Linked DNA regions of Stegostoma tigrinum. The protein of the gene in region 1 interacts with the protein of each later gene in a pairwise test. Links are inferred from orthologs where the notes say so. Each region holds a gene or a part of one and is shown in the gene's direction. Other genes may lie near its edges.

Evidence for each region.
Region 2: the proteins of get3 (region 1) and get4 interact in binary tests that used the Homo sapiens proteins (3 or more experiments, as listed by UniProt). The link is inferred for Stegostoma tigrinum from reciprocal best matches to the Homo sapiens genes GET3 and GET4.
Region 3: the proteins of get3 (region 1) and unm_hu7910 interact in binary tests that used the Homo sapiens proteins (3 or more experiments, as listed by UniProt). The two-hybrid records come from large-scale screens. The link is inferred for Stegostoma tigrinum from reciprocal best matches to the Homo sapiens genes GET3 and ASPH.
Region 4: the proteins of get3 (region 1) and gpx7 interact in binary tests that used the Homo sapiens proteins (3 or more experiments, as listed by UniProt). The two-hybrid records come from large-scale screens. The link is inferred for Stegostoma tigrinum from reciprocal best matches to the Homo sapiens genes GET3 and GPX7.

Annotation. Positions count from the first base shown.
Region 1 is NC_081388.1:16,863,182-16,871,082, forward strand, and holds the start of get3 (ATPase GET3), read left to right. Parts: upstream 1-4,793; 5' UTR 4,794-5,387; coding exon 5,388-5,536; intron 5,537-7,901. Other genes in the region: trir (telomerase RNA component interacting RNase), read right to left, coding at 4,474-4,749.
Region 2 is NC_081376.1:37,652,362-37,659,817, forward strand, and holds the start of get4 (Golgi to ER traffic protein 4 homolog), read left to right. Parts: upstream 1-4,329; 5' UTR 4,330-4,374; coding exon 4,375-4,508; intron 4,509-7,456. UniProt on the Homo sapiens protein: As part of a cytosolic protein quality control complex, the BAG6/BAT3 complex, maintains misfolded and hydrophobic patches-containing proteins in a soluble state and participates in their proper delivery to the endoplasmic reticulum or alternatively can promote their sorting to the proteasome where they undergo degradation.
Region 3 is NC_081358.1:34,176,487-34,184,231, forward strand, and holds the start of unm_hu7910 (aspartyl/asparaginyl beta-hydroxylase), read left to right. Parts: upstream 1-4,534; 5' UTR 4,535-4,711; coding exon 4,712-4,769; intron 4,770-7,745.
Region 4 is NC_081361.1:64,431,193-64,438,464, forward strand, and holds the start of gpx7 (glutathione peroxidase 7), read left to right. Parts: upstream 1-4,178; 5' UTR 4,179-4,384; coding exon 4,385-4,600; intron 4,601-7,272. UniProt on the Homo sapiens protein: It protects esophageal epithelia from hydrogen peroxide-induced oxidative stress. It suppresses acidic bile acid-induced reactive oxygen species (ROS) and protects against oxidative DNA damage and double-strand breaks.

The DNA of each region.
Region 1 (7,901 bases):
ATTAAACTGGGAAATAAAACTGCCCAAGTATTGTATTATACCACATCACTTGGCTTATCCAATAGATATCTCCAAAATAATTTCACATTAGAGTACAACAGTAATTTTTAAGACTGAGTCCCTAAATATTGCTATGACAGTGCCAACGGTAATTTTGAAAGTGTAATTTTTCCGGTAAAAGTTATAGCCAGATATAGCCATACTAGTTTTGGTTTGAAAAATCTTCTTGTAGTTGTACAACTTGCTGACTGTGATAAGATGGTCAGATTTAATTATGCTAATACCGAGCTAATATTATTATCACTCATCCACAAATCACTCAGCCAAAAACTGAACATTTATTCCAGAACAGAATTTCTGGAAATGTGAAAAGGACTTTTAAGCTCTGAAGCTAAATTATTCAGGAATGTAATTTTCGCCAAAATTTCTAGAAATGCTGTTAATAGCCTGAACATACTGAATTGTACTCCAAGTAAGTCTATGAAGGAATATTTTGGCTGAAGATTAAAAATATTAAGTGAGACAGCATTCTACCATCAACCAAAAGGTTGACCCAAAGAATTGAAAATAAAAAAATCATTCCCTCACATACACCAATTCTCTCAATGAAATCAGAATTGGAATCAAGCAGCCTTCCTGCACAAGACTTTCAGAGACATTTTTAACCTTCAACGAATGAGGTCACCCGCTACAGAAGCTACTTTACGTTCTCATTTGCTCCAAAATCAGCCACGATACTGTTGCTCACTCTCACGTGAGTTCCTAGAGACTGACACTGCTTATAAAATCATTCAGCAGTGCTTCTGTGAAAATAAAAGTGAGCACTGCACTTACACTTCTGTTCAAAGTGGCTGTGACTCCCAAGCTGAAATGAGGTTATGCTGCGTCAGTTGGGCACTGAATTTGGACATACTCCAAAACAACAAAATAGATGCACACTTAATTGTAGCACTGATATTCTGATGTTATTTTTCTCTTCCCACCCTCTCCAGCATCATGCTAACAAGGATTTGGATGACACTAGGGAAACATACATTCCTTATTATTTTTACAAAAGCTTTTGAGTCATTAAATGAAGTACTAGTGCTGGAGAACGGTACAATTTACATTTCAGGAAATTAGTGTCAGCATCAAATGCTCCCCGATCCAGTGTTAGGAATGTGTGACCAATAAGGTATTTTTCAGTCTGGATCAATTGTAGGTCAAACATCAGAAGATTGATGATATCTCTCCGTTTCTTACACCAGAGTCAGATTGCAATTAATATCTTGTAGAACTGGATTGAGACTGTCTGAATTATTTCTCATATGATTCTTAACATATGCAATGGAAAGAAGATATGTTTTCCCCATCAGTACGGGCCAGACCCCAATAAGCTCATCACTAGAGTATTGTATAGAGATAAATTTTAGGAAGTCTTGTCCAAGTACTCATATTTCTCCTGAATCTATGGGGCTACGTGAACAAGGATATCAAACATGCACTTTTACAACCAGAAGAGTGGTGAATTTCTTTTTCTGATTAAGTAAAATAAGCTGAGTAAATCTCTCAAAGATCACTTAAAGGAACTGTCAGATTGCTACAAAGATACTCGAAATCCATGGTGTAACATTCTCAATTTAATCATGATGCCAAAGGTAATGGAAGCAGCTTTCAAGAGAAAAGCAGTTATGTGCTACTATACCGGCAATTAAAACTTTTATGTTTTATTTAAACCATCAGGAAGCTTTACCAAGTTGTGAATGTTGGGGTAATGGGGATATTGTCAGAGGCCCCCTTTCAGCAAATACTTAAGGCAATCTGACAAAGCAGTACAGTTGCATTCTTAATATTAGAACAAGAACCTGCAGCACGGAATCTCACTCAGTGTTTCCAAATAGTGACAGAAAGTGAGATAATAGCATTTATACATGCACATACACAAAATTACTAAAAGCTGGTGCACCAGGACAAAAGAAGAAATGGAAAGCCTAACACAGTGTTTGACTTTACATTATTCAGAAGTGAGTAAATGTTGAGGGTAGATCAAACTTGGCTTCCATATCCTTGAAGGTTGACCGGTAATCAACTGTGGGCTTTAACATGGGATTCACTAAAACTGATATAAACAATTGTTTATATTGAGGACATTAGGCCAAGAGGACAATTCTCAGCCATACAGCTGTGGTTGCTCAGTCATCAAGTTCACTTATTGGTGATAAATGGATTTTTGAATAAAGGAATTAAAAACTATTAGGGCAGCGTAGGTCAGTTGCAATCTTGTAGAATTACAAAGCAGACTTCAGCATTTATTTTTTACACTGTCCAAACTCATTATCTTTGTATTTAGTAATGTTAATTTAAATGTAAATGGTGAATTAAGAAATTTAGCATCCTTAGCAAGAAAAAAGGATTCTTGCTTCAGACTAAACCTTCGCCAGACTGAGAACAATTGTGAAATTTTGAAAATCGCTTCGAAAGTCTTATGATTGAATTGGAGTAAGTAAAGATCAAATTTAAACATGAAACATTAATTAATAAAACAATTCCAGAAATGCACAGGTCAGCCAATATCTCAAAAGAAAGAAAATGTGTGTATGTTTCAAAACATCTTTGATTTTGGTATCTTTGCTGTGGTGTACAATCCCAGAATTGGAGTCAAGACTGAATCAATGACTCCAGTGTCCAAGTAGAAAGCCCAGGATCACATTAAAACCTCTTCTACAACTTGTCCTGCCATTTTCAGAGTTTTGAATCTGCAAATCCCGAATTCTACTTTTCCTACAAAGCCACAAAAATGGGCCCTTAATTTACAGTGCCTTTGCTTATTCATTAAGCAGGTTTAATATTTAATCTCATGAGACAGCATAGAACCAGTCTAGAAATATATTAAGTCATTGTAAGGAAGCTCAAAGTCTTGAATGCGTGACCCAAGAGAGGGAAGCACTATTCACTGGATAACAGGTTGCACAAGACACCAATCCATCAATCCTCAGTTCTGACGGCAGTCACATGTGTAAATCAATAGCCTTTGCCTTTTTAAGATGATGACAGGGCCCTGTATTTTCAGCATTTGCGGCTTTCATTTCAAATATACAGTTTTTACCTGAGTTTCTTTTTAAAAAAGCAGAAATTGAGCACTTAGGATTTATAATGTTCAGGGAGCAATCACAAAGCTGAGTATGTTTTTGTTTTAACACAGTGTGAAGCTGGGTGAACACAGCAGGCCAAGCAGCAGAGGAACAGGAAAGTTGTGTGTTTCGGGTCAGGACTCTTCTTTAGAAACTGGGGAGGGGAAGGGGATTCTGAAATAAATAGGGGGAGAGGAGGTGCATAGAAGATGGATAAAGGAAAGATAAGGTGAGAGGAGACAGACAGGTCAAAGAGGCAGGGTTAGAGCCAGTGAAGGTGAATGAATGTAGATGGGGAGTGAGGGAGGGGATAGGTCAGTTCAGGGAAGACAGACAGGTCAAGGAGGCGGGGTGAAGTTAATGGGTAGATGTCCCACCCCATTTCCTACCTACTAGCCTCATCCTGCCCATCTTTCCTGAACTGACCTATCCCCTCCCTCACTCCCCACCTACATTGACCTTCACTGGCTCTAACCCCACCTCTTTGACCTGAGTCTCCTCTCACCTTATCTTCTCCTTTATCCATCTTCTATTCGTCTCTCCCTATTTATTTCAGAATCCCCTTCCCCTCCCCAATTTCTGAAGAAGGGTCCTGACCTGAAATGCAAAACTTTCCTGTTCCTCTGATGATGCTTGGCCTGCTGTGTTCACCCAGCCTCAGTAAGTGTTATCTCAGATTCTCCAGCACTGGCAGTTCCTACTATCTCTGTATACAAATTTTCAAAAAAATCATCCCACATCACTCTCATAGCCAGTGAATTAAGGAATCAATCTGTAAATTCAGGCAAGAGGCAGCATACTTTTGTGTAAAATACGTATTGCCCCTAACATTGTTGAATGATGGAAGGGTCAATCAACATATTCAGGCAAGAAAATAAGTTGCACTGTTTTGTAAAATAAAGAACTGTACATATTGCACTTAACATAATTATGGAAGGAACCAATTTGTAAATTTAAGCGAGTGTGGGGGGGGCAGTCATTATGATTTTTCTTTTGCAAAATAACCGTATGTATTGCCTCTAACATTGTTGAATGAAGGAAATAATTGACCTGTAAACTTAGCATTATTTTGTAAAAGACTACAGGTATTGCTCTTAATACTGCCGAAGGAAGGAAGGAAGAAATCAATCTGCAAACGCAGGCTGACCAGGTAGCATTACTTTGTAAAAGACTGTACATATTGCCTCTAACAATGTCGAATGAAGGAATCAATCTGTATTTTCTGTTAAGACAGTGGATAACATTTTTTGGTGATTTGTGGGGGGGGGGGGGGGGGGCAGTGAACTAACGGCATCTTCCACCAACTCCCCCGCCCTGCTCATTAACCAGGAGGCAAACTGAGAGCAAAATCTCTCGCTCTTACAATATTCAGCACGCTTTTCTTCCTGTCGCTCTGGGCCTCAGCACTTTGCTCCTGGCCAGCGGCCACACTCCTCTTGCCTCCATTGTCTATGTCCCCGCCGCTCGGCACGGCTCCCCCTTCACTCCTCAGCTTCTCCTCTTCCATCTTCTTCTTGAAGAGCGCCATGAAGCTGCCATCGTTGGCGAAAGCGTTCACCCCTTTGCTCTCCGAGGTGCCGTCCGCTTCGCTCGGCTCGGAGCTTCCAGAAACTTCGCGGCTCCTCCGCCTCTCCGCCATCTTGCGGGAACGAGGGGCCGCTGAGGCTTCTGGGGCAGAGGTAGAGGATGGGAAGCTGAAGGACAACTGCCTGAACAAATCAGCACCTCAAAACAAAAACAAACCACTAGCTCAATAAGACAAGTGCCAAGGCCAACCGATTATCTTTCCAATCGCGATGGAGTTGGGGAGATGCCTGACATCTTCGCTGGCCGACAACTGCGCATGACCGCACTTCAACGGTCCCGAAAATTTCCCGCCCCCGCTGGTTAAAAAAAAATAGATGTTAACGATAAAGATGCGTAACATTTTAAACTTGATGACCAGGAAACGTACAGGCGCCAGTTTTAAAAGAAGATATTAATTCAAATATTACAGCCGAGCCAATCGCGCCGCGTTTTACTGAAGCGGCGCTGTACCAATCAGTGTTGAAGATGGAGGCCGGTAGGACGGGGGTTACGTGGAGTTTTGGGGCGCGGAATGTCACGAATGTGAAGAAAAATTCCTCCGGTCCTTTCGTGTCTTTTGATAACGCTAAAATAGCCCGCCTATTATGTCAGCGTGTAATTATTTAAAAATTAACGACAAATAAATTAAGAAGTTCGGGGTCGGGGGGGTTCTTTCCCTCAATCGATTCACAGTCACGTGGTAACACCGAGATGGCGGCGGCAGCGGTGATGGACGAGGAGTTCGAGGATGCTATAGACGTGGAGCCCCTGGAACCCACCCTGTGCAATATCATCGAGCAGAAGTCCCTCAAATGGATCTTTGTGGGTGGGAAAGGAGGCGTGGGCAAAACCACGTGCAGGTATTAACGAGGAGAGAGCACCTTTACCAACTAACTTCAGCATTTTTAGATGTTTTCTGTATCAGTCTGTGCAGAGCTGCCTCTGGAGTAGTTGGGACTTGAGCACGGGTCTCCGGACTCAGCGATACTCCCACAATGCCATAAGAGCCCGAAATCCAGCGGTTTGTGTCTGTTATGCATCTCCCTCTGATCTTTTCGCTGGGGAGTGCTCGCAAGGAGGTGTGCGGTGAGCGCACTCGATGGCCACGTTAACGTGAAATATGAAGTCGGCAGGTGTTCCATGGCACGGCGCCCGAGTTAAATTTTGTAGAGCCATTGATTGGAAACAAGTTGAAAACTATGTTAGTCTTTTGAGGATTAGCCAGGGAAGTACTAAGCAGAGACGTGAGGATGCTGAAGGTCTGAAACAAAAATAGAAATTGTTGAAGAAACGCAACAAGTCTGGCAGTAGCTGTGGAGAGAAAGTAGAGTTAAAGTTTCAAGGCCAGTGACCTTTTAAACAAAGGAAATTTGCACACGCACGTTGTGGTGTGTACAGTTAAATTGGAGCTTTGGTCACGTGGACTTAGTGCCCTGCAAACTATTTTTTTGCTTTTGAGGTTAGAGATTAGATTCCCCACAGTGTGGAAACAGGCCCTTTTAACACAACAAATCCGCACCGCCCCTTGAAGCATACCACCTCTAACACACACACACACACACAGCCCTGAGCACTACGGGCAATTTAGCATAGCTGATCCACCTAGCCTGCAGACTTTTGGACTGTGAGAGGAAATTGGAGCACCCAGAGGAAACCCACGCAGACACAGGGAGAATGTGCAGACTCCACACGGGCAGTCGCCTGAGGCTGGAATTGAGCCTGGGTCCCTGGCTCTGTGAGGCTGCAGTGCTAACCACTGAGCCACCGTGCTGCCCCAAATACCGATAACAGGTCTCTCTCTCTTTCCTCCTCCTCCTCCTTCTCCTTCTTCTTCTTCTTCTTCTTCTTCTTCTTCTTCTTCTTCCCCCCCCCCCCCCCCACAACAGAGTAACTGCTTCCAATTAAACAAGAAAATTCCAAATCCTCCTTTAATGGTCTTCCATTCAACAAATGTTTATAGGGTAGGCCATTGGGTTTAAAAATAATGTAAGCATAAAATATTTGTTATTAAAAGTAAGCTAAATTCAACTGGTGAATGAGATAGCAAAAGGAATGCCATGTTGAGTGGAAATTACAAACCAATACACTTTCCCCACACTGCATGTGTATGTGTGTGTCAGTATAACTTTTACTTTTTTTCATTTGTGGCAAATGCAGCAGAAGAAAGCTCTCCCCCCTCCCCTTGTACCAACTCCACCATTCAACCAGATTATGGTTGATCTTTTACATCGGTACTACTTTTCTTGCACTATCCTCAAACCTTTTATGATCTTGAATTGAAAATGAAGAATAGGAGTGGGTTTAGATCAGACACCTGTTTGTGCTTTCTCAACCTTTCAAAGTAAATACGGTCAATCTTCTGTGTTCACTCAACTATGTGATAATCTGTCAATCTCAGTCTTGAATATTGTCAAGGGGACTCTGACATGTTGAATTTTTTTAAAAAATCAATTTTTCTTCAAGTGAAGAGACTTCTCCATCAAAAATGGTTGGCTCTCTATTGGGAGGTTATGCCACCCAGTTCTTGACTTTCCATCCATAGATTGCAGAATCTTTACAGCAAAGAAGGAAGTCATTCCTCCATCATGGTTACATTAGTTATCTGAAGGACTAATTCACCTACTGCTGCACTCTTCCACCCCACCTATTGTCCTTTAGCCCCGCACATTCTTCCTTTCTCAGATAATCCGATTGACCTTTGGTATATCTTGATTGAATCTCCCTTCACCACATTAGGGTAGTACACTCAGGTCCCTGTCACTTGCTATTAATGAGGCACAACCTCAGTATCCAATATGTTTAGTCCTGTGAATAAATTTTAACGAGATTATCTCAACTAAATACCAAAGCATTATTGGCTTGTTCTTCTCCAATCGTTCACGTGAGGCAACCTGCATTTCAGGAATCGGTTTACTAAGCTTTACTTCATTGAAAGCAAAATGGGCCCTTCAATAAGCACAGTTACCAAAACTGTATAAAGTGCTCTTGGTATGCTCTTTCCAGATCCCTTGAAAATTGCAGCAAAACACTTTTGTAAAAGTAAAATTCAGTGGATGCTGGAGAAATTCAGCAGGTCTGGTAACATCTGTGGAGTGAGGAATTGGCCTCTGTGTATCAAAACCAATTAATTGTCCTGCAGAAGAGTCACATTGAGCTAGAAATGTTAATGGTTTCTCTCACCACGGATGCTGCCACATTTGTTGAGTTTCTTTGGTATTTTCTGTT
Region 2 (7,456 bases), on another chromosome or scaffold:
GCAACTCCTGTAAAGAAATTGATTCATTAAAATGCACATATCTCCAATTACGATAGACTTCATTGGGACCTGATTAAAGGATTCAGATGAAAGGTTTGACTGTAATTTTGCATTGTGTACTGTTTAAATGTTAATGTTAAGAACTTTTTATTGCAAGGCTATTGTAGATACTTGAATGTTGGGATATATCAATTTCAGCAAACATGATCTCTTGCATTAGATTTGTTCAAGAATGTGCATGGTGCTAAATATGCTATCATTACTAATAAACGTCCTGGCTGGTCAGATACATTCAAAATCCATTTGATGAAAAGACTGGCAACATTTCAGGTTTCAAGGTCAAATGACTTGAATGCTAATTCATGCCACACAAGCAGAGTGGTGAAAGGAACGAGGCACTTTTTTCTGGGCTTTTGCTGACTCATGAGATGTAATGGTGAAGAGTTGGTGCTCCGATGTGAGATGAAATGAATTTGCTAACCTGACGAACAGTTTTTTTTGTAATAGGTGCAACAGGGTTGTAAGGTCTTCATGGAAGGGAAAATCAGTACACACATCCCTATTGTTGGTTCAAGTGAGAGACAAAACATCTGTGGATTCCCTATTTTGGAGTGCACCATGTTCCTTTTGTTTCTATCTTGGGGATATGCCCCACAAAATAGCAAATCTTTGCTTGGTTAGATATCTCCAAGCTTCTGGTCAGAACAGTTTTTATTGAGCTTTTGGAGAGGTATGTGTTGATGAGCAGATGACTCTTCAATTTCAAATTTTGTTAGTGTAGCTGAGGTCAGTTGTCAGTGCAGTTGGTGAAAGTTGACAGAGTCTAAGCAATTCAGGAGCTTTTTGGATGACAAGGATAATATGCCTTAAGAGTGCAATGAACATGTCCAGTTGACGAACTTTAAAAACACTCTTCATAGAACTCGCTGTTGTGATCTTGTTCTTTTCTGTAATGGGTACTGTTTGTCAAAGCCAACCTGGATTGTAACCTGTACTAACAAGGTGTAGAGCTGAATGAACACAAGCAGCATCAGAGGAGCAGGAAAGCTGATGTTTTGGGTCTGGACCCTTCTTCAGAAAGCTACTCTGCTGCTTGGCCTGCTGTGTTTATTGAGCTGTGCACCTTGTTATCTCAGATTCTCCAGCAACGGCAGTTCCCACTGTCCCCTGTAATCTGTACTGCCACCTATTGGAGTGATGAGCTTTGACTGCAAGTTCCAGCTTGCTCCATTAGAACCTGTGCAGCAGGTTAAGAATTGCAGAAAAATAGCTTCTGTTGATGGGATAACCTTTTGGTCAAGCTAGGTGGCAGTGCATTATGTGGAAATGTAACCATCAAACTGCAAAATTAATCATATAAGCTACAATCTATATTTTTGCATCACATGTTTGTTATGTGAAGCTTTCTATTTTTAATTTTTAAAATGGAGTAGCTTTGACAAGAACTATCCTTATTTTTCCAATCACTAGTCATTCTCTGAAGGGTTCTCTGATCAGTCTTTCTGTTATGACTGCATTTAGGATATTTTAGAACCTGGTTTAATTCAGTCCAACAGCCCTATCCAGCTAGTTTTTAGGCATTTCAGTTTTACACTAATTTAAAAAATTGATTGTTGTTTAACTCAGTTTAGAGTTGTAAGAATGTAGCTCGATGTCTGTGGTTGTCAACAAAACATTAGCACCTAGCACATTGACAATGAAATCAGCATCCCAGGTTTGGCAATCTCTGGCAGTAATCTGGTCTTTATCACCATTTGAATGGTGACATGACTGCACTCTTAACTGGGGGATTCCCAGTAGACAGTTGTATTGATTTCTTCAGTGTACTGGGGGTTTCTCTTGCAGATTATCAAGAAACAAAAAACAAAATTTTTACAGAATTTATTTTGAAAGTACTTGCATAAGACTTAAGGTAGAATATAAAAGATTCTGATTGATCTTTTTCTCCTGAAATGAAATTACATTGAAATATAACAGTACCTCACAATCTCTTCTCATGGCTAGTTTTGTTCATCAAACTTTAATTGTTTGAAACTCATTTACATCTGGTTGAATCTTGATCATGGAAGGGATATGACTTAGTCTTTCACTTTTTAGAATCTAATTCGCATTTATTGTGATTTTTAACAGTTTGGTCATGAGATGTGGGCATTGTTGGCTGGCTAGCTTTTATTGACCATTTTTAGTCTCCTTGGAGAGAACCTGTCAGGTCTATCTGCTGCCCTTGATCTTCTAGAAAGAAGCAGTCATGGATTTGAAAGGTGGTTTGAAGGTTCTTGGTTGAATTTCTGCACTACAGCTTGGTAGATGGTATACACTACTGATATTGAGGGTCAGTGATGAAGGGACTGGATGCTTGTGGGTATGGTGCCAATCAAGTAAGCTTCTTGGCTTTAATGTCATGTACCTTCATTGTTGTTGTAGCTGCAATCATCTAGGCAAGTAAAGAGCATTCCAGCAAACTCCTTATTTGTGCCTTGTGGATGGATGGGCTTTGGGGAGTCAGGTGATGGATTACTCATTGCAGAATTCCTAGCCTCTTCTGCCTTCATTGCCACAAATTTATGATTTTCCAGTTCAGTTTCTGATCACCAAGGATGTTGATCATGGGAGATTTAGTGATCATAACTTGATTGAATGTCAGAGGATGAGGTTAGATTCTCTTTTTTGGAGATGATCATTGCCTGCCGTTTATATGGTGCAAAAATTTTGGTCACACTCGCCTGGATATTATCCAGATCTTGTTGCATTTGGACATGGAATATTTCAGTATTTTGAGTTGCAAATGGTGCTGAATAAGGTGCATTTGTTGGTGAATGTCCCCAGCAGCTGCAGATCATTAGGTCCAGAGCACTATCTTGAGGCACTCGGGCCTCTTAACAAGCAGTGGTGATGCCTCGAACCTGGGCCTCTGGCTCAGAGGTAAAGTCCCACATGTTCCAGAGGTGTGTAATAGCATCTCTAATCAGATTGATCAGAAAATACCTATCCTAAGCAGCTTTCCTTCCCACATAAATTTGGGTCACCACTCCTGAAGTGAGCCTTCCCTGTGATTGTTAGCCCAAACATTTGTTCCTTGTGTAAGCTTTGCTCTGTAGATGTGAGTACCAACCTGAGGGGCAAAACCTAACCAACTCCACCACAGCCCTCTGAGTGGGTGCCTATACTCTGTCCTTGCATGCCACAATTAATCTTTATTCTAATTCTAAAATCTCTTGACCTGCAATCAGCTTGAAAGCTACAGTCTGGTTGGCTTGCATCAAAGACAGTTCTACGTTTAAGACTTGTCTGGTGCAAAATTCCTTAACCCTGTACATTATTAACTGCACGTGGTTCCAAAGGTATTGACACTTAAGAGAATAGAGACCTTCCTAGAGTAGTGTTTTTAAGGTGTTGAGAAAACAGCAGGGTTCTTTTAAAGCAAGTCTCAAAGAGCAAGAGTTTTCAGTAATGTTGGGGCAGTTCCTATTATGTTTTAAGAGTTCATTAAGTCTGCCAAAGTCAATATTATTTGCCTCAGCAATAACAACGCTCACGAATCTTTACCCTCTCTGTGACACAAGTAACTGGGGATGGGTTCGAAGAAAAATGCTAGCTAGCCAGCGATGCCCACATTACACAAATGAAATAAATTTTTTTAAAAAATCAGTGCGTCATATTTCTTTTACCACAGATACAGCCCTTTATACCTACTCCCCTCCACGAAGGGCGAAAAAAAAAAGTTGAGGGTCTTTAAAAACTTGGATCCGCTCTAGCTTAACTCAATAGTGTTAAGATGAGAAGACCCAGGTGTCTACTAGAGAAGGAAGAGATTTAGGATTTATACACACCTTGCTTCTAGCTTGCTCCGCTGGCTGGAACAACGTTAACAGTTTCCCCCAGCCCCCTTCAAGGCGGCAGCACATCGTGGAGCTGGAGCAGTGATAATGGGAACTGCAGATGCTGGAGAATTCCTAGATAATAAAATGTGAGGCTGGATGAACACAACAGGCCAAGCAGCATCTCAGGAGCACAAAAGCTGACGTTTCGGGCCTAGACCCTTCATCAGAGAGGGTTCTGGAAAAACCAGAACCCTCACCCCATCCCCCTCTCTGATGAAGAGTCTAGGCCCGAAACGTCAGCTTTTTGTGCTCCTGAGATGCTGCTTGGCCTGCTGTGTTCATCCAGCCTCACATTTTGATGTCTTGGATTCCCTATATTCTAGACGTGTTAGATTTCCAGCGGCTGCAGCACCGCCTCTTTCAACCCGACCTCCGCTGTGATTTTGAAGATGACTGGAGCCCGCGTTCTTTGAGCGGCGAAGGACGCCGTAGTCGTGACGTCGGCGCGCCGCGCATAAGCCGCTCGCCCTTTGACCTTTGGCTGCGGATAGCAATGGCGGACGGCGAGGTGCCCAAGTGCTGCAGGAACCGGGGCGGAGTCCAGCGGGTCGAGAGCAAGCTCCGGGCGAGTGTCGAGAAGGGCGATTACTATGAGGCGCACCAGATGTACCGGACGCTCTTCTTCCGGTGAGTTTGTCGGTGTGGAGACGGGGAGGAACATGGCCACGTTTGGGAGAGAGAGACGGTGTACGCGGCTCCGCCGGGCGAATCCTCCGTTCTCCTCCTCCTGCCCGATCCCTCTCCTCGAGCGTCGGCACCTTCCAGATCATTCTTTTTCCGCGAGCCCCACTCAACCTAACCTGCTGGCAAAGGCTGCGGATCCGCCTATGCTCCGGCCTCTTCCCCAGTCGATTGGTCGCTGATTGTCGACCAGCCATTGTGACGCGAACCGCGTGATTGGTTAACTGTCCTATCGATCAAGAGACTGATAGCATTCTGAATTGACGCGGGGGCGTTGGTGGGAGGCTGAGCAGCAAGAGTGCAGACTTTCGAGGAATTTATGGAGGTTGGTTGGTTGGATGGAAAACAAAAACTGCAATTCAGAAGATGTCCAGTAGCAATACAGTGCAATGTAAAAAGAGCTGATAAGTGACGGAACAAACGATTAGCCCAGAAGCGTAAGTGGGAAAAATAATCGTCACAGCTTGGAAGTTCTGTGGATCCTGGAAATAAAGAGAGAAAATGATGTATATATTCAGGTCAGGCACATCCAAGGAGAGAAAAAGTAAATGTTGATAGCCTTGCATTAGAACTGGAAAAGTTTTTAGAATTGTTTTGTGTTTTAGGTAGGTACAGCAAGAGTGAAAGGGTGACTAAGTGACAAAAGGATGCAACAGTGCAAAGTCAAAGGAGATTGCAGCTGGTATGACTGAAGGACCAAAGCCTAGTTCAGTGGATATGTAAATGGCGTATCAACATGACCATCAGTTTTTATACAAAAACAAAAAATATCAATTCTAAAAACTCAAAATAAAATCAGAAAATTTTGCCAATATTCAATTGGTCATCCAGCACCCAAACAAAAGAGAAGGATATTAGTGTACCTGTTGACCTTTCACCAGAACACTTCATTCAGAATATTCTGATGTTAGTTCACAGGCCTGTATTGTTAACTCTTTCTCTCACCACTAATTCATATGACTTGCTGAATATTTTTCTGGCACTTTTTCTGTTATTATGTTGCCATCACCGCTATTTGAAAACAACTGGGGTCAGAAATTGTGAAGTGAAATTACGAAACTTAGTGTTGATTCCAAAAAATTAGAATTAAAAGTTTCTAATCAGAAGGTGAGATGTTTTTCCTCATGTTTTAGTTGACCGTCATCGGAATAATATTGGAGGCCAAGGACATATCTGTCAGTGTGAATGGGTGGAGAACTGACAATGTAATTGGAAGCTTAGCGATCACATTTGCGCACTGATGGTGGTGTTCTGCAAAGTGGTCACCCACTCAGTGTAGAGGGCACCACATTGTGGGCAGATAATATAGTGTACTAAATTGAAAGAAATAAGTAAGTTACGACTGGCATTGGAATACTGGATAATGAGAAGGAAAAAGGAAAGCTTTTGTTTCTCCTTTCCTCACATGGATATGTGTTGTTGGAAGGAGAGGGGGTGATTGGAAAGTGTACCAGGTTCTGGTGGAGGCGATTATCTATTAAGCTAGCAGAAAGGGTGGATGGGCACCTTGTGCGTTTGATGGCGATATCATGCTTGAGCTAGTGAAATGGAAGATGATGCATTTAATTTTAAAATTTATGAGGAAAGTGAGGTTGAGGAGAATTCTCATGCAATTCTGGAGAGATCCAAATAAGAACCGAAGAGCAAGAAATTGAGGATATGCCATTAAGAAACCTGCAAAACAAACTGGAGAGGAATTGTTGGGTAAAGGGATTTAAATCATCCATGGTATGTTGAGCAGATTTAATGATAAGTTTGAGAGACTGGACAATGAGTGGGAAAGATAGAGTTGCAATAAGAAGAAATCGGTTCCACAAAGCAAAGAGACGCTGAAATGATGGATCTGCCAAAACAATTGCATTTGTGGATGAGGAATGAGGTAGAAATGCCAAATGGGTTTCGGGAGCAATGAGGTTGGCAATTTTCTTCTACTGCTTCGAGAAGAGATGGGGTCAGTAGTTGTTTGATAATGGGATGACACCCAGTGGAGTAGAATGAAATGTCAGAGAGCTGAAATTAAGCCAGTTCAAGAGATGACAACAGACTAGTCGGACCGGCCTTGTCCTCTGTTGTTTAATCCTGTGAGCCACAGGCCGTTCCTTGGGATACTATTTCAATGACAAAATGAAAGGAATTTAATCTCCAAAAAGTTTAATTTTAATTTAAGACAGAAAAGTAACAGGCCATATTTCAGTCAATGTTTTGATTCATTTGATTCAAGCTGACATTCCAAAAAGAATGAAAATTTAAGGGAAAAAACCAGTTAGGCACATAGGTACCTCTGGGCTTTGAATAGAAGCTTGTAGTACAAAAGCAAGGAAGGTATGGTGAACCTTTTGCAAAACACTGGTTTGGCCTAGACTGGAGAATTGTGCCGAGTTTGATGCATTACATTTTAAAAAACATATGAAGACATTAGAGAGGCTGCTGAAAAGATTTTCAAGACTGCTTCCAGGCCTTCAATTAGTTGCGTAAGCTAAAGAAGCTGAGATTATTCTTCTTGGAGAAGACAAGGTTAAAAGTTGTTACAGTAGGTTCAAGGTCATGAGTAGATAGAACTGTCCCTGTTGGCAGAAGTGTCAAAAACCAGAAGCAATCAGTGACAAAAGAACCAAAGCAACATGAGGATAAGCTTACTTACGCAAACACGGAATGCACGGCCTGAGATAATGATCTAGACAGATTCTGTTCTGGCTTTCAAAGTGGACTTAGAATCACATCATTTTCTTTTCTCTTTAGAAAATTGTTTATGATATAATTTTGCTGTAATGTGCCTCCTACCCCAAGATCTTTGCACTCCATCAGTGCATCCTTTTATTTCTTTCTTCTTCCCCATTTCATCTATACACATTAGCTATCCTGCTATAAATTGTAGTAAATTCCATATTATTGTT
Region 3 (7,745 bases), on another chromosome or scaffold:
GATACACCTGGTCGCGGCCAAACGGGTCATTCCGCTCAAGGATAGACTTCCTGTTTGTGTCACCAGCATTCTCAGTCAGGTCCACCGGCGTCGAGCCGGTGTTCTTCTCTGACCACTGCCTCCTGCTGGCCGACTGTCACTTACAGGACGACCAGCAGGCCGGCAAGGGGACGTGGAAGCTCAACACGACTCTGTTGGCCCTAGAAAACGTTGAGGAGCTTAAGAGGGAGTACGCTGGTTGGAGAACCATGAAACCCCTCTTTGAGTCTCCGGGCAACTGGTGGGAGACAGTGAAGGAGAAAATCAAGAGGTTCTTTGTCCTTAAGGGTGTTCGGAAGGCGAGAGAGAGGCGGAGAAAGCTGTTGCGACTCCAGAAAAGGATGCAGAACCTGCTCCTTCTGCAGTTGATGGGGGTCGATGTCACGGAGGACCTCCGCGAGGTGAGGGGCCAGCAAGCCTCGCTCTTCGCCGCGGAGGCCTCCAGGATAACCTTCCGGTCCAAGATCCGATCCGTGGAGCAGGACAAGATGTGCTTGCGTTTCTTCTTTCAGAAGGTGCACAAGGAGAGCTCTGTGCTTAGCTGGCTGAAGGAGGACGATGGCTCGGTGTCGTCGTCTCGGCCTGACCTTTTGAGGATCAGCAGATCCTTCTATGCCGGACTATATGACGCGAAGCCCACGGACAACACGGCCTCCAAGTCGTTCCTGTCGTCTATCACGGAGGTCTTAGACGACGGCACGAGGGACTGGCTGGACCGGCCGATATCCCTGGACGAGTTGACCAGAGCCCTCAAGTCCTTTGAGAGGAATAGAACTCCCAGGAGCGACGGCTTACCAGTCGAGCTGTATTCCGCTCTGTGGGACCTTGTCGGCCAGGACCTGCTGGAGGTGTACAATAGTGTGCTTTGGGCAGGGGAAATATGCAGGTCCATGAGGAAGGGCATCATCACCCTCATTTACAAGAGTAAGGGGGAGAGGGAAGAAATTAAGAATTGGCGTCCCATTTCACTATTGAACGTGGACTACAAAATCCTGGCCAAGGTCATAGCCAACCGGGTCAGGTCTGTCCTGGAGTCAGTGATTCACCCTGACCAAACCTGTGCTGTGCCAGGCAGGAAGATCGCTGAGAGCCTCGTGCTCATCAGGGATACGATCGCCTACGTGCAGAACAGGAGGGTGGACACCTGCCTCGTCAGCCTGGACCAGGAGAAGGCCTTCGACAGGGTCTCTCATGCTTACATGAGGGATGCCCTCTCCAAATTGGGGTTCGGTGAGGGCATCCGCATTTGGATCCGGCTGTTCTACACCAACATCATTGGCGCAGTCTCGATCAACGGGTGGGAATCGGACAGTTTTCCCATCAGATCTGGAGTCAGGCAGGGCTGCCTGATCCCTCCTGCCTTGTTCGTGTGCTGTATGGAGCCCTTCGCCGCATCCATCAGGAAGGACGTGAGCCTGAAGGGCGTGACTATCCCAGGCAGCGGAGGCCTTCAGGTCAAGACCTCCCTGTACGTGGACGACGTCGCTGCCTTCTGCAACCGATTGTCGGACGGTGAGTAGACTGTTGGACATCTGCGGCCAGTTTGAACTGGCCTCGGGTGCCAAAGTCAATAGGGGTAAGAGCGAGGCCATGTTCTTCGGGAACTGGGACAACTGCCCCTTCATCCTCTTCCCTGTCAGGACAGACTACCTGAAGGTGCTGGGTGTTTGGTTTGGTGGAGCTGGGGTGTGCACTAAGACTTGGGAGGAGCATATCACCAAACTGAAGCAGAAGCTGGGCAGGTGGACGCTCCGGTCCCTCTCCATCATGGGTAAGAACCTGGTTGTCAGGTGCGAGGGGCTTTCGGTACTGTTGTATGTGGCGCAGGCCTGGCCTATCCCCTGGACCTGCACCGCTGCGGTCACCCGGGCCAGCTTCCACTTCATTTGGGGGTCGAGAATGGACCGGGTCCGCAGGGACACCATGTACAAAGACCTGGGAAACAGGGGAAAGGACGTACCGAACACCAGCCTCGCCCTGATGGATACCTTTGTATGTGGCTGTATCAAGCTGTGCGTAGATCCTCAGTACGGAAACACGAAGTGTCACTACTTACTGAGGTTCTACCTGTCCCCGGTATTGCGAAGGATGGGCCTGGCCTCGTTGCCACGGAAAGCTCCAAGTAGTTGGACCGTCCCGTACCACCTGTCCTTCGTGGAGAAATTTTTGAAAGGAAACACCTTTGACCACAAGGCCGTCAGGCAGTGGTCAGCACGTAGTATCCTCGAGACCCTTCAGGAAAAGGAGAGGGTGGATCCCGTCGCGTGGTTCCCCACGCAGACTGCCAAAGTCGTTTGGCAGAATGCCTCATTGCCAGAACTTTCAAACAAGCACAAGGACATTGCTTGGCTGGCGGTGAGACGGGCTCTGCCAGTGAGATCCTTTATGCATGCCCTGAATCTCTGCGCCACCGCACGCTGCCCTCGAGGTGGCTGCGGGGGGGACGAGACTGTCTATCACCTCCTTCTGGAGTTGCCTATGCGCAGAAGGTCGGGAAGCGGATGCAGTGGTATTTGTTGAGGTTCGTCCCGAGCAGCTCCGTGACACGCGAATCCGTGCTCTACGGGCTGTTTCCTGGGACGCACACCGAGACCAACATCAACTGCGCCTGGAGGACCATCAATGCGGTGAAAGACGCTCTTTGGTCTACCCGCAACTTACTGGTCTGCCAGCTGAAAGAACTGACCCTGACCGAGTGTTGCAGACTGGCGCGCTCCAAGGTCCAGGACTACGTGCTGAGGGACGAGCTAAAGCTTTGGGTAGCTACTGCCAAGGCACGGTGGGGAAAGACCACCGTATGAAACCCCTCGTCCAGAATAGAAAAAAGGGCCCTATCTGGTAACTAGGCCCAGCCGGCGCCTTCCCCAACTGGTCAGGGGGCCAACAGGGACTGTGCAGGGAGACGACCGCCAGGGTATTTTCTTTGCTTTGTTTTTTTCTTTGTTTTGTGTTTTTCCTTTCGTTGGTGTACGTACCCCCTGGGTAACCCGGAGCGGCTTGCATGACTGGGTAGGTGTATAAATGTTTTACTTTTTTGTACATTCTATGAATAAAGTATATTTTTTCAAATAAATGGTGACGAAAAGTCTGAAAACGAACCTTCCAGCTCAGCGAGCAAACTCACATCCAGAAACTCAACCTGAGCTACAAATCTTCTCAACACTCGCTAGTAGATATTTCTATTGAACCTGTTTAGAGGTGTTATGACATGCCTCTTGATCAGATGAGAGTTGAACCCAAGCCTCCTGGGTCAGAGGTTAGGATACTAGCATTTCACCACAAGAGACCTCCCTATTTCATCAATAAGCAGGTTGCATGGTGGCTCAGTGGTTAGCACTGCTGCCTCACAGCACCAGGGACCCAGATCCTTTTCCAGCCCTGGGTGACTGTGTGGAGTTTGCATATTCTTCCCACGTCTATATGGGTTTCTGTCAGGTGCTCTGGTTTACTCCCATAGTCCAAAGACGTGCAAAGCAGATGGATTAACCATGCTGAATTGCCCACAGTATTCAGGGATGTTCAGCTAGGTGGATTAGCCACAGGACATGCAGGGATAGGGTATGGGTGTGGGTGGGATGCTCTTTGGAGGGTCAGTGTGGGCCTGTTGGACCAAAAGGCCTGTTCCCACACTTAGGAACTCTCCTGGCCCAGAGGCCCTGTACAACCACTGTACCGTAAGAGCCCTTAAACATTTTATAACCAACCTGTACTGAGATGTTAAAAACAAAAATAGAAATTGCTGGAAAATCTTCACAGGTCTGGCAGCATCCATGGAACGAAATCAGAGTTAACATTTTGGATTGAGTGACCCTTCCTCAGAGCTGCACTGAGGTGTTGACTCTTTGGATGCAGCTGACGACCGAGCGGCGCTGGGAAAGCTTGAGGCTTCAAATAAACCTGTTGGTATGTAATCTGGTGTCATGTCACTTCTGTCCTTCCGATGCAGAGTCACTGGACTCGAAAAGTTAACTCTGAAACTTTCCACAAATGTAAGTCATTTCTGCTGATTTTCTCCAGGAAATTCTGTTTTTGTTTCATAATACCGCACAGAAATATTTCAGATGTCCAGCTCTTTCAGTCATATTACTGAACAGAAATTTATTAGCCCATAACCCACGTCTCCTGGCCTAGAGCGAAGGACATTGCCACTACTCCACAAGAGCTTGCCCTCGAGTTTGGAAAATATATGTTGATACTACGAGATTACTACACGATTCTGATGTCGGCGGGATTTGAACTCGAAACTCCTGGATCACAGGTAAAGATTCTTGCAACACGCCACCAAACCAAAAGGGGTGGGGCGCCAAGGCGGCAGCAGCTCTTCAGCTCCTGCTGTCGGCCGGTGGCGCTCTCGTTCGAGGTTTTTCGGCTTCCATGTTGCCACGTTCGATGGGCGCGGGGGGCGAGGCGGAGCATCCCGCTGGGAAGCCAATAGCAAAAAGAGCCTGACGGGAGACCTACGATCGATTGGTGGAGGGGGCTGTCGATCAGCCTGCGGCCACGCTTTCCCCACCCCCCCTTCCACGGCTGCGGAGGGATTTGGTCTTGGGGGTCAGGTGAGGACTAACGGCCGCGAGAGCGAGTTTTGTGTGTATGTGTGAGAGAGACGCAGAGTTGCCCGGCTGTCGCCGCATCCTTCTCTATCTGCTGGCACGTTTTGAACGAGTGAACCATGACTTCGAAGAACAAGACAGCTAACAGCCGTTCTAACCCGTCAGGATCCAGGAAAGGTGAGGGGGATGGGTTTGACGGCCGGGCCTGGGAGGGGGCGAGAGGAGGTCCTGCCGCTGCTCGGCGCGGGGCTGCCGGATCCGGTATTCACCCCCACCCGCTATGGGAAAAAGACGAAGGAAAGTTGGAGCTTTTACCCCCCATCCCTCCTCTGGAATGGGTTTCCCGCTGCTGTACCCCTTTTTTTCCTACCCGACCCACTTACCCCCCTCGCCCATCTCCCACCGCTAACGTACTGTCAAATGCTCCTTGCTCTGGTTTGCTGGGTGTGTAAGACAGGGTCCGCCCCATGTCCGTGTGATCATTGCTTTTCATGCAGCGTTTGTGCTGTCTTTCGGATCGATTATATGCTACTTCTTTTCAAAGGTCATTGATACATCTCAGCTCTGCTTTTATATCCGTGTTTCATTTATCAACATTTGTGGTCTTTCTTTTTAAAACTGGATGTTAGAGAAGATACGTGGTTCCACTTGCATAATTGTTAATTCTTTCAGTTTCTCCTTTTGTAGAAACTGAAGTTATAACCCATCCTGAACTATATAGGAGCAGCTGGGTTTGCCCGATTCCCTTATACAGCCTGCACATTTATCTACTTTTCTTTCTAGATAATTAGGAATTGGACAGTTACATAGCCCGTGTAAGGCCATTAGAAATATTAACAGTGGACCCTCAAGCCTTCTCTACTGTTCAGTTGGATCATAGCTGATCCAACACCCCTGCCCTACTTTCCTGCCTTTTCCCTATGATTCCCTAACTGATCAAGAATCTGTTTAACTCAGCCTTAATTTGATTTGAATTTATTGGTGTCATATGGCTCTAAGTACAGTGAAAAGTCTTGCTTTGCGAACAGTATGGACAGATCATAGCAAACAAGGACATACAGATCATAGAGTGCTTAGAGCAAAGCATACAAGGTTACAGCTGCACAGGAGATTTGAAGTTAGTCTGTTTAGCAGCCTAATAACAGCAGGGAAGAAGCTGTTCTTGAACATGCTGGTGCATGTGTTCAAGCTTCTGTATCTTTTCCCTGATGGAAGAGAGTTGTAGGATCTTCAGACCTGTAGATTTAAAATATACACAACGACTCTGTCCCCTCAGTGCTCTGTGACAAGGAGTTCCAAAGACACTCAGCCCTCGAGAGAACAAATTCCTCTAATCCCAGTCTTAAATTGGAACCTTGTTATTCTGAGATCTGAGCCAATCCTGAGCCCTCTGGCCCTGGACTCCCTCATGAGAGAAAGTATGCTGTCAGCATTTACCATGTCAAGACCCTTAAGAATTGTATATGTTCCAATGAGGTCACCTCATTTTTCTAAGCAGTTCCAACCTGTTTAACTACATACTCAACAATTTTGAGTCTAACCATTGGCTACATTTAAAAACAAAATGGTTTTTCTTCTGTCACTCTGATTCTTTTGCTATTCATCTTGTATTGATGCCTTCTGGTTCTTGATCTTTTGCAAATAGAATGTTTCTCTATCCACTGCATCCAGATTCCTCAGGATTGAACAACAGTCAAAACTCAAAGCAATCTTTTTGAAGAACAACCAATGAGTCTGCCATCTGTTTGCATGACTAGTTTCTTATCCTTGGAAACAATCTCTTGTCTGCACCTTGTCTAAGGTCTTCGTACCTTTCTTCAGGGAGATGTCAGCTTTGTCGACACAAATTCACTTGAGGCTGAATCAGTGCTTTTAAAAAAGCTTTTCATAACTAGAACACCCCTAGCATAGCATAATCCAAGTCTGCCACTCTGTTGGGACTGAGTACCTGCAGACTTTGATTCCTTTTGTCCAGAATGGAAGGAATAGCTGGAGAGCCATAGGTGGGTGTTGAGTGCTGCACAGTGTGATTTGCCTTGTGTGTTGATCTTGATTATATTGTGCTTATTTTTTGTGATCTTTATACCTATTTATAAGCAATTCCCATTTATATCACTTTTATATAATTGTAATATGTAGTTGTAACAGTTGGAAATGCCTGTTGTTCACTGGAAAAGGACATGGGTGTAGTTACAATGCAGTGTGGAGCTGGAGGAACACAGCAGGTCAGGCAGCATCAGAGGAGTAGGAAAGTTGATGTTTCGGGTCGGGACCCTTCTTCAGAACTGTTCTGAAGAAGGGTCCTGACCCGAAACGTCAACTTTCCTACTCCTCTGATGCTGCCTGACCTGCTGTGTTCCTCCAGCTCCACATTGCGTTGTCTCTGACTGCAGCATCTGCAGTTATTGCTATCTCTTGGTGTCGTTTCGTCTGGGTTTATAGTATGTGTAGTTTATATAGTAATGTTGAGACATTTCAGTGTGATTCAGAAATTGTTTACAAATCATGGGTGTTGCTTGATTTTAAACAACTCGTCGATATTTTTGAAGGCAAAAGTTTATTGCATAGGCAATGAGGAAACTCAGACTTTGAATGTGAATGTTGAAAAGTGTTACATGTATTCTGTTCAAATGCTGCAATTCCTGTGTGGAGAACTGGCTGCTGAGTGGGGGTGCTTAAGGATGTTGTTGACCTGAATTTTCAGAAAGCTTTAGATATATGGTTTGATTAATGAAAATGAGAACTTCTAAAACTAAAGAGACCTATGGGACATAATTTAAAAATTGTGAAAGGATATGAAATTGGACTGGAAAGTTGACGGAAATGTATGAATTGAAATGTGATTAGTCCTTTTATCAGTGAAATGTATGTGAGCTGTATTCTGTATTTTATAAAATGGTATATTGCAGAGAAGGAAGCAGAAAGTGACAGATTGTCGCTAATTGGAACTGAATGTGGGGAAGGCAGAGGTTTAGACCGAAGGAGAATAAGTCAGAATATTTTGTGAATTGGAAGAAATTGGTTCAGCAGAGACTGGTATACAAATTATTATGTAAGCAGACACAAGCAAAACCAATCAGCAGTTCTTTGTTTTATTACAATTACATTGTTGACATTTAGCTGTGTGGTTGGAATTGCGTGAGTAAGTTGGGG
Region 4 (7,272 bases), on another chromosome or scaffold:
AGGGAATCTAATCTAATCTAAACCTCTAGAGTAGGTGGGACTTGACCCCAGGTTTCCTGGTCTAGTGGTATGGATGCACCACGAGAGGGCCCCTCCTTTACATTTTGACACTTAAAGGAAGCATTAGTGGCAGCTGGAAACAATTTGTGCTGATTCTTCCTGCTGCAGACATAGGTCTAGGTAGCTGAAGAAAATCGGCTTTAGAAATTCAATCAAAGTAAACACTCTGTAAAAACAAAACAAAATACATCTTGGTGCTATTGTTCTCATAGATTTGACTGTATGAAACCAGAACAAAAGCTCTATAAAAATGAAGCATGTTGTTATGGCTGTACGAACAATCCAAATTATATCAAATATGTGCAGCATATCAAATATGTGCAGCAGCAAGCCACTTAGTCCAAGTAATCCATGCTGCTGCTTATTATTTCATGAGGTGAAGATGCTGCCGGTTTTACCCATCCCTAATTGCAGTTGAGAAAATGGAAGGGAACTGACTTCTTGAACCACTGTTCATGTGGTGTAGGGACACCCACAGTGCTGTATGAACAGAGTTCCAGTATTTTGATTCACTGATAATGCAGAAACTGCAACATAGTTCCAAATCAGGATAGTGTTTAGCTTGGCAGAATACTTGCATATCTAAATGTCCCCATTCATCTGCTGCCTTTGTCCTTCCAGGTGGTAAGGTTGGCATGTTCAAGTGTGCTGTTGAAGAAAGTTTGGTGAGTTGCTGCAGCACATCTTGGAGATGGTACACACCACTGTCACTATATGTCAGTGTTGATGGAAGTGAATATTGAAGGTGAGAGTTAAAGTGCCCCTCAAATGAGCTACTTTGTCCTGGATGGTGTCAAGTTTCTTGAGTATCTTGAAGATGCTTTCATTCAGGAAAAGGGAGATTATTCCATTACATTCCTGAATAGTGCCTTGTGGATGGTGACCAGACTTTGGGGAGACCGGAAGTGATTTTTTTTGCCACAATTCTCAACCACTGACATGCTCTTGTAGCCACAGTATTTATGTAGATGGTGCAATTCGGTTTCTGGTCGATGATAAGCCCCGGAAATTTGATCATGAGATTCAGTGACAGTAATATTGTTGACTTGCGAAAGTAGATGACAGGATTCTTACCTGTTGAAAATGGACACTGCCTGGCACTTATCTGGTGTAAGTGATACTTGTCACTTATCATTCCAAGCCAAAAAGTTGTCCAGATCTTACTACATATGGGTTCAGAACATTTCCTATTTGAGGAGTTGCAAATGGTGCTGAGAACTGTGCGGTCATCAATGAACATTCCTTACTTTCTACCTTATAACGGAAGGTGAGTCATTGATTAAGTTGTTTAGGCATAACTCGTTACCCTGAGGAACTCCTGCAGTTATATCCTGGAGTCAGGTAATTGACCTCCAAAATCCACAATTTTGCTCGTTATCATTCCAACCAGAGAGTTTTTTTCCCCCAGTTGGTATCGAATTAATGTTTGTGAAGGCTCCTAGATGCTAAACTCAAACCAGTACTGTCTTGATGTCAAGTACAGTAATTCTCACCTTACGTCTTGAGTTCAGCTCTTTTGTACATGTTTGGGTCAAGGTGGCAATAAGGTTAGAATCTGAATAGCTCTGACAGAAATCATACTGAATGATGTTGAGCATTTTATTGCTGTATAAATGCTGCATGATAACACTGCCAACAACACTTCACTGATGATTGAGGGTAGACTAATGGAGTAGTAATTGGCAGGGTTTAGTTTGTCCTGCTTTTTGTGGAAAGGACACACCTGGACAATTTCTGACAGCTGTACTGGAGTAGTTTGGCTTGGGCCACAACTAGTTCTGGAGCACAAGTTTTCAGTACTACTGCCAAATTGTCAAGCCCATTACTTTTGCCCCAGATAGTGTTTTTAGTTGTTCCTTGGTATCATATGAAATGAAGTAAATTGATTGAAGACTGGCATCTGTGATGCTGATGACCTGAGAAGGAGGCCAAAGTGGATCATCCACATGACACTACTGGCTGAAGATGGTTACAAATGCTTTAGCCCTGTCTTTAGCATTGATTTGCTGGGCTTCCCTACCATTGAGGATGGGGATCTTTTTGGAGACTGATCGCCCAATTCATTGTTCATATATCTACTGCTATTCATGACTATATGTGACAGTAGGACGGCAGAGTGGCTCAGTGGTTAGCACTGCTGCGTCAGTGCCAGGGATCCGGGTTTGATTCCACCCTCAGGTGACTGTCTGTGTGGAGTTTGCACATTCTCCCTGTGTCTGTGTGGGTTTCCTCTGGGTGCTCTGGTTTCCTCCCACAGTCCAAAGATGTGCAGACTAGGTGGATTGGTGATGATAATTTGCCTGTAGTGTTCAGGGATAGGTGGATTATGGGGAATGGGTCTGGGTGGGGATGTTCTGAGGGTCAGTGTGGACTTGTTGGACTGAAAGGCCTGCTCCACACTGTAGGGATTCTGTGAATACTGCAGAATTTTGATTTGATTTGTTAGCTGTGGGATCAGTTAACCCTGTCTATTGCACGCTGCTTATAATGTTGACGGTGCAAGTAGTCCTGTGCTGTTGTTTCACTAGGTTAGCAGCTCAGTGTTAAATTTGTGTGGTGCTGCTCCTGGCAAGCCCTCTTGCACACTTCATTGATGTTGTTCTCCTCTTGATGGTAATGGTTGAGTAAGGGAAATGCCAGGTTATAGATTGTGGTTGAATACATGACCAGGCTGTTGTTCTTGTCAGAGAGGACATTGCATACCTTCAGGATGTTTCACAACTTGTGTTTGGATCATATTGTTTATTCATCACCAAAGCTGACTACCTTTTTAACTTATAGCAAAACACTGTTTAATAGTGGGCAAGTTGGGGGTGTTGAGAATAAAATTCAATATCCAGTATATTGCTTAATTATTCGTAATATGATGAAGACACACTTTTTTGAGGATTCATGTTTAAAAGATTGTGGACAGTTATTCATTTGGAGTTCTGGAAAAATACTTTCTCTTTAAAATGGTTATCACTAAAATGACATTGGATCATTTTATTTCAAGACTTAGAATTTGCATGGCTTAATCGAATTGCTTGGACTTATTTACTGATAATCAAATAGGTTTATGGACATCAGTAGTTTTGTTTGGATATTGTTTAGAGTTCAGTAGGTATACAGCCTATGCAGCTTGTCCTCTCACCTGAGGAAATCTTGTTGGAGGGTCCAGTGTGTGATGATAGAAACACTGATTTAGCTGTTCTCCTGAAAAATCCTCTGCATCATCAACAATCCCTAAATAGCATGCATCTGCAAAGTTCCCTGTTCTGACTATATTTGACAGAATACACACTGAAAGCTGTTGTGTCCGTTTCATACCTTATCCCTTTTCCTTCGAAATTAAGAATTATTGGTCAAATTTGATTTCAAAATTAACCACTGCCAAGAACGTTTTTGTTTTTAATTTTTGTTTGTATGGATTGTATTTAGAAGGGTAAATATTTGTAGTTTCCTTTTGAAAACGTATGTTAATCAGCTTTACATCTTTGAATATGATCTTTCACAGTAAATGAAAAATATTGACCCTCTCTGATGAAGGGTCTAGGCCCGAAACGTCAGCTTTTGTGCTCCTGAGATGCTGCTTGGCCTGCTGTGTTCATCCAGCTTCACACTTTATTATCTTGGATTCTCCAGCATCTGCAGTTCCCATTATCTCTGATCAAGAATATTGTTGTTTATTTAATAAACCTTTTTTTAAATTCTATTCAGATTGAACGTATAAACCATTTCAGAACTCACTGAAGTAGAATCAAGTCATCTCAAACCTGAGGGACTACCTAAAAATTGATAGTACTGAAATCTTTATTTATCAATGTAAAAGTTCCCTTTACTTTATGATGCTCTTCTATTAGTTATGTCCATTTACAAGGGGCCATTTATGTTGGTTTCATTCGGCGACATTAGTATTAGTCTGTATTGGACAAGAAAAAGCACACGTTTTGAGAAGTTGGAGCATATTATCCCCAGGAAGTGGGATTCACGGCTAGGAATGACAGTTCGGCCGTCACGATATTCTTATCTGCTGAAATTAAAAGCTATGAGTACTTGAGATTTAACAAATATGTTCAAGTGCTAAGCAGACAAAAGGTGAGCTAAACCTTATTCCGAATCCAGGAGATGTGACTCGACTTGTCCGACATTGATGATTCTTTCAGAACGGTGGATGGATCAAAAACAACTAATTGAAAAGTGAATGATTCTTCTGGGCGACCGTTAAATCTTTGGAGTTCATTACGACTGTTTTGCAGCACCGCCTTACGTCAGGTACGAATGGCTGATCTGTGTGGGAGACGATTGGGAACGAGCCCTGTTGCGGTATCAGAGCCAGTCAGAAATGCAGCAGTCAGCCCAGAAACAGCAGGCGCCAAGCAGAGCTGTTTCTTTCTCACAACTCAGCACCCGTTTGCTGTTCATAGTCATGTCACTCGCAGCGATCATAGCTCTGCTGTTATTCGTCTGGCCAACCGAAGAGAAAAACAAAGATTTTTACTCATTTAAAAGTGTGAACATTAGAGGGAAGCTAATTTCACTGGAGAAGTACAGAGGATCGGTAAGTTTGACAACTCCACCCTATCACTAACCGATCACGGAATTAGGACTGTGCAAACTCATGAAGCCTCCAGCTTTACCCAACTAACACACGTGAATGCGGAGCCCACATCCTATTCCCTACTTGACTGTGATTGAAACAATGGAATTTGCTGCCCTTTAATCTGTAATTCATGGGGAATCATGGGGGACCCTTTGAGCAGAATTGTATACGTGGCATCGTAATAAAGTAGTTCAACTATTCTCTCTAAACGTATTTGCTCACTGGTGTATCGTTTTTCCAAATACTGTACGGCTACGAAAAACAGTTCTACTTGAAGTAAGCAAGCCAGTTCATTCATTGTTGTTTAAGTTAACTTTAGGTTAACAGCCTATTCTACATCAGACGTTAGGACCATCAACTGCAAAACTTATCCTATATGAACCAATGCAACACAAAACCAATATACAGCAAATGATGGAAATTGGAAATAAAACTACAAACATGCAGGAATTACTTAGGTGTACCTAAGAAACGAGTTAATTTTCGTGTCTGTGAACTTTAGAACTTTCATCCTGCCTGTAGTATTTGATGCAACTATTCATTGAGTTCACCTCCTGTAGTTTCCCCAGTCATGTAGTATTTTCCCCTGGTGTTTGTGTAGTGTTCTTTTATATTTTCAATTTTTTAAAAAGATGTTGCACTTAATATGCTCTGCAACCCTTTCAGACAATGCTTTCAAGACCAGAATAATTCATTCATAAAACACCCACAGTGTGGAAGCGGGCTATTCAGCCCATCAAGTCACACCAACCCTCCAAACAGCATCCCACCCTATCCCTGTAACCCTGCACTTCCTTTAGCTAATCCATCTAGCCTGCATAGCCATAGACACTATATATGCAATTTAGTATGGCCAATCCACCTAACCTGCAGATTTTTTGGACTGAAGGGAGAAACCCACACAGAAAGTCACTCGAGGATGAAATCAAACCTGGGTCCTTAGAACTGTGAGACAGCAGTACTAACCACTGAGCCACCATTCCGGCACTCTGCATAAGGTTTCCTCAGGGCACCTGTTTAATGTGCTAATCAGCTTAAATCTTTGTCCTTTGCTTTCCAACCCTTCCTCCACTGTTCCTTACTTGGTAAAAGTCCTTCAGGAGTGTAAACCTCTCTACTGATTTCTCCATCATCTCTTCGGTACCGCAGCATCTGTGGAAAGAGAAACAGAATTAACGTATCAATGGCAGTATAACTCTTTTGGCTAAGATTGTTCAGGTAGCTAGTCGAGGAGTTCAACCTGGCAATGACTACAAGGGTGGCTAAGGCTGCCCCGGTATCATTAGAGGTTCAATATCGATAGAGGAAATCAGACCTTGAGGCCAAATCTAATTAGAGGCTTGTTGGTATGCATTCCCACAGTGCTTCAGAGGAAGGAAGCAGGACTCCTGGTTTGATTTACTTGCGGATGAGTTAGAGGCTGAACAGTTTCTGAGAAGGACTGAAAACGCCCAGTGATTTGGTGATCGAGGACTGAATTGAGGATATTCAGTTTGTTGTGGCATCCAGAGGCCTTGTCACAAGTGAGATGGCAACATTCACAATGGAACATTAGCACAGAAAAACCCATTGGCAAATACTGGGAAGAGGTTCACATGTTCAAAGAAGTGTGTAGTGGATCTTTGAGTGCAGAGACCAGTAGTGTTGAGGGCAGTAATAGCCTGCGCAATAGTAGTGCTTTCATGATTTATAAGCACATCGAAGGAGAGGACCCAGACTGCATATCCTCAGAGGTAGTGAAATGGGTCAGTCATGTAGTCCTCCTGGCTGTCTTCTCCAAATTGCCTTAGGGACAAGCAGTTGAAGGACTGCTTAGCAAAATTTGTGAGTGATGGGAATTTGCAGGTAGAGTTAAGGAAGCATAGTGGTGACAAGCCTGTAATGTCCTGTGAAGTGCAGGATTATGTCATTCAGATATTTGAAAAGATTGAAGGAGAGAGGCTGCCATTGAGGAAGTGACTATTGGTGCAGAAGGGGATAAAAACCTCAGGCTGTAAGCATAAAATGTAAGCAGAACAAATTGCTGCATAGCACCTACAGATTCAAATCTTGCTGCCCTGACTCTATGGTAAGTCAATGGCCAGTCTTGCACAAGGGCCATTCCCAAGTGGTGTTGGAGTTGTGATGGGACTTGACATTTCAAACAAGACTGCCATCAGGCATCGACTCATCATTCAGTGCAATGGTCTTCCCTTCTCATCAAACATTAAACGATTTAGGCCTTCCATCAAAAGCCAGTCTGAAAGCATTGGGGAGCAGTGGGTGTGTTGAAGTGGCATTCTTTCAGGTAAGGTAAGGTTCTTTCAAGTAGAGCCTCATTACATGCAGAGTGATAAACTTCCCCCACAGCAAGCATGAAATTTGGCAAGTAGAAGTCTCATGCCTAATTGATACAGGAGCAGAAGAATCAATTGTAACTAATTTTCCTGAGACCCTCTTACTGTGAAGTACTGAGTATTGAACATCACGTCTGGGTCTCTGCTTCACAGGAGAAACCATTGTCTTCTTGGTTGCAATAGGCTCAGTCTCATTTTGCATAGCTTGGTTATCTAGTAACTCATGACCCCACCGATACTCCATTTGGTGTACAAAAGTTGACACTACTCATGGTATTAGTCCAATGTGTTAAA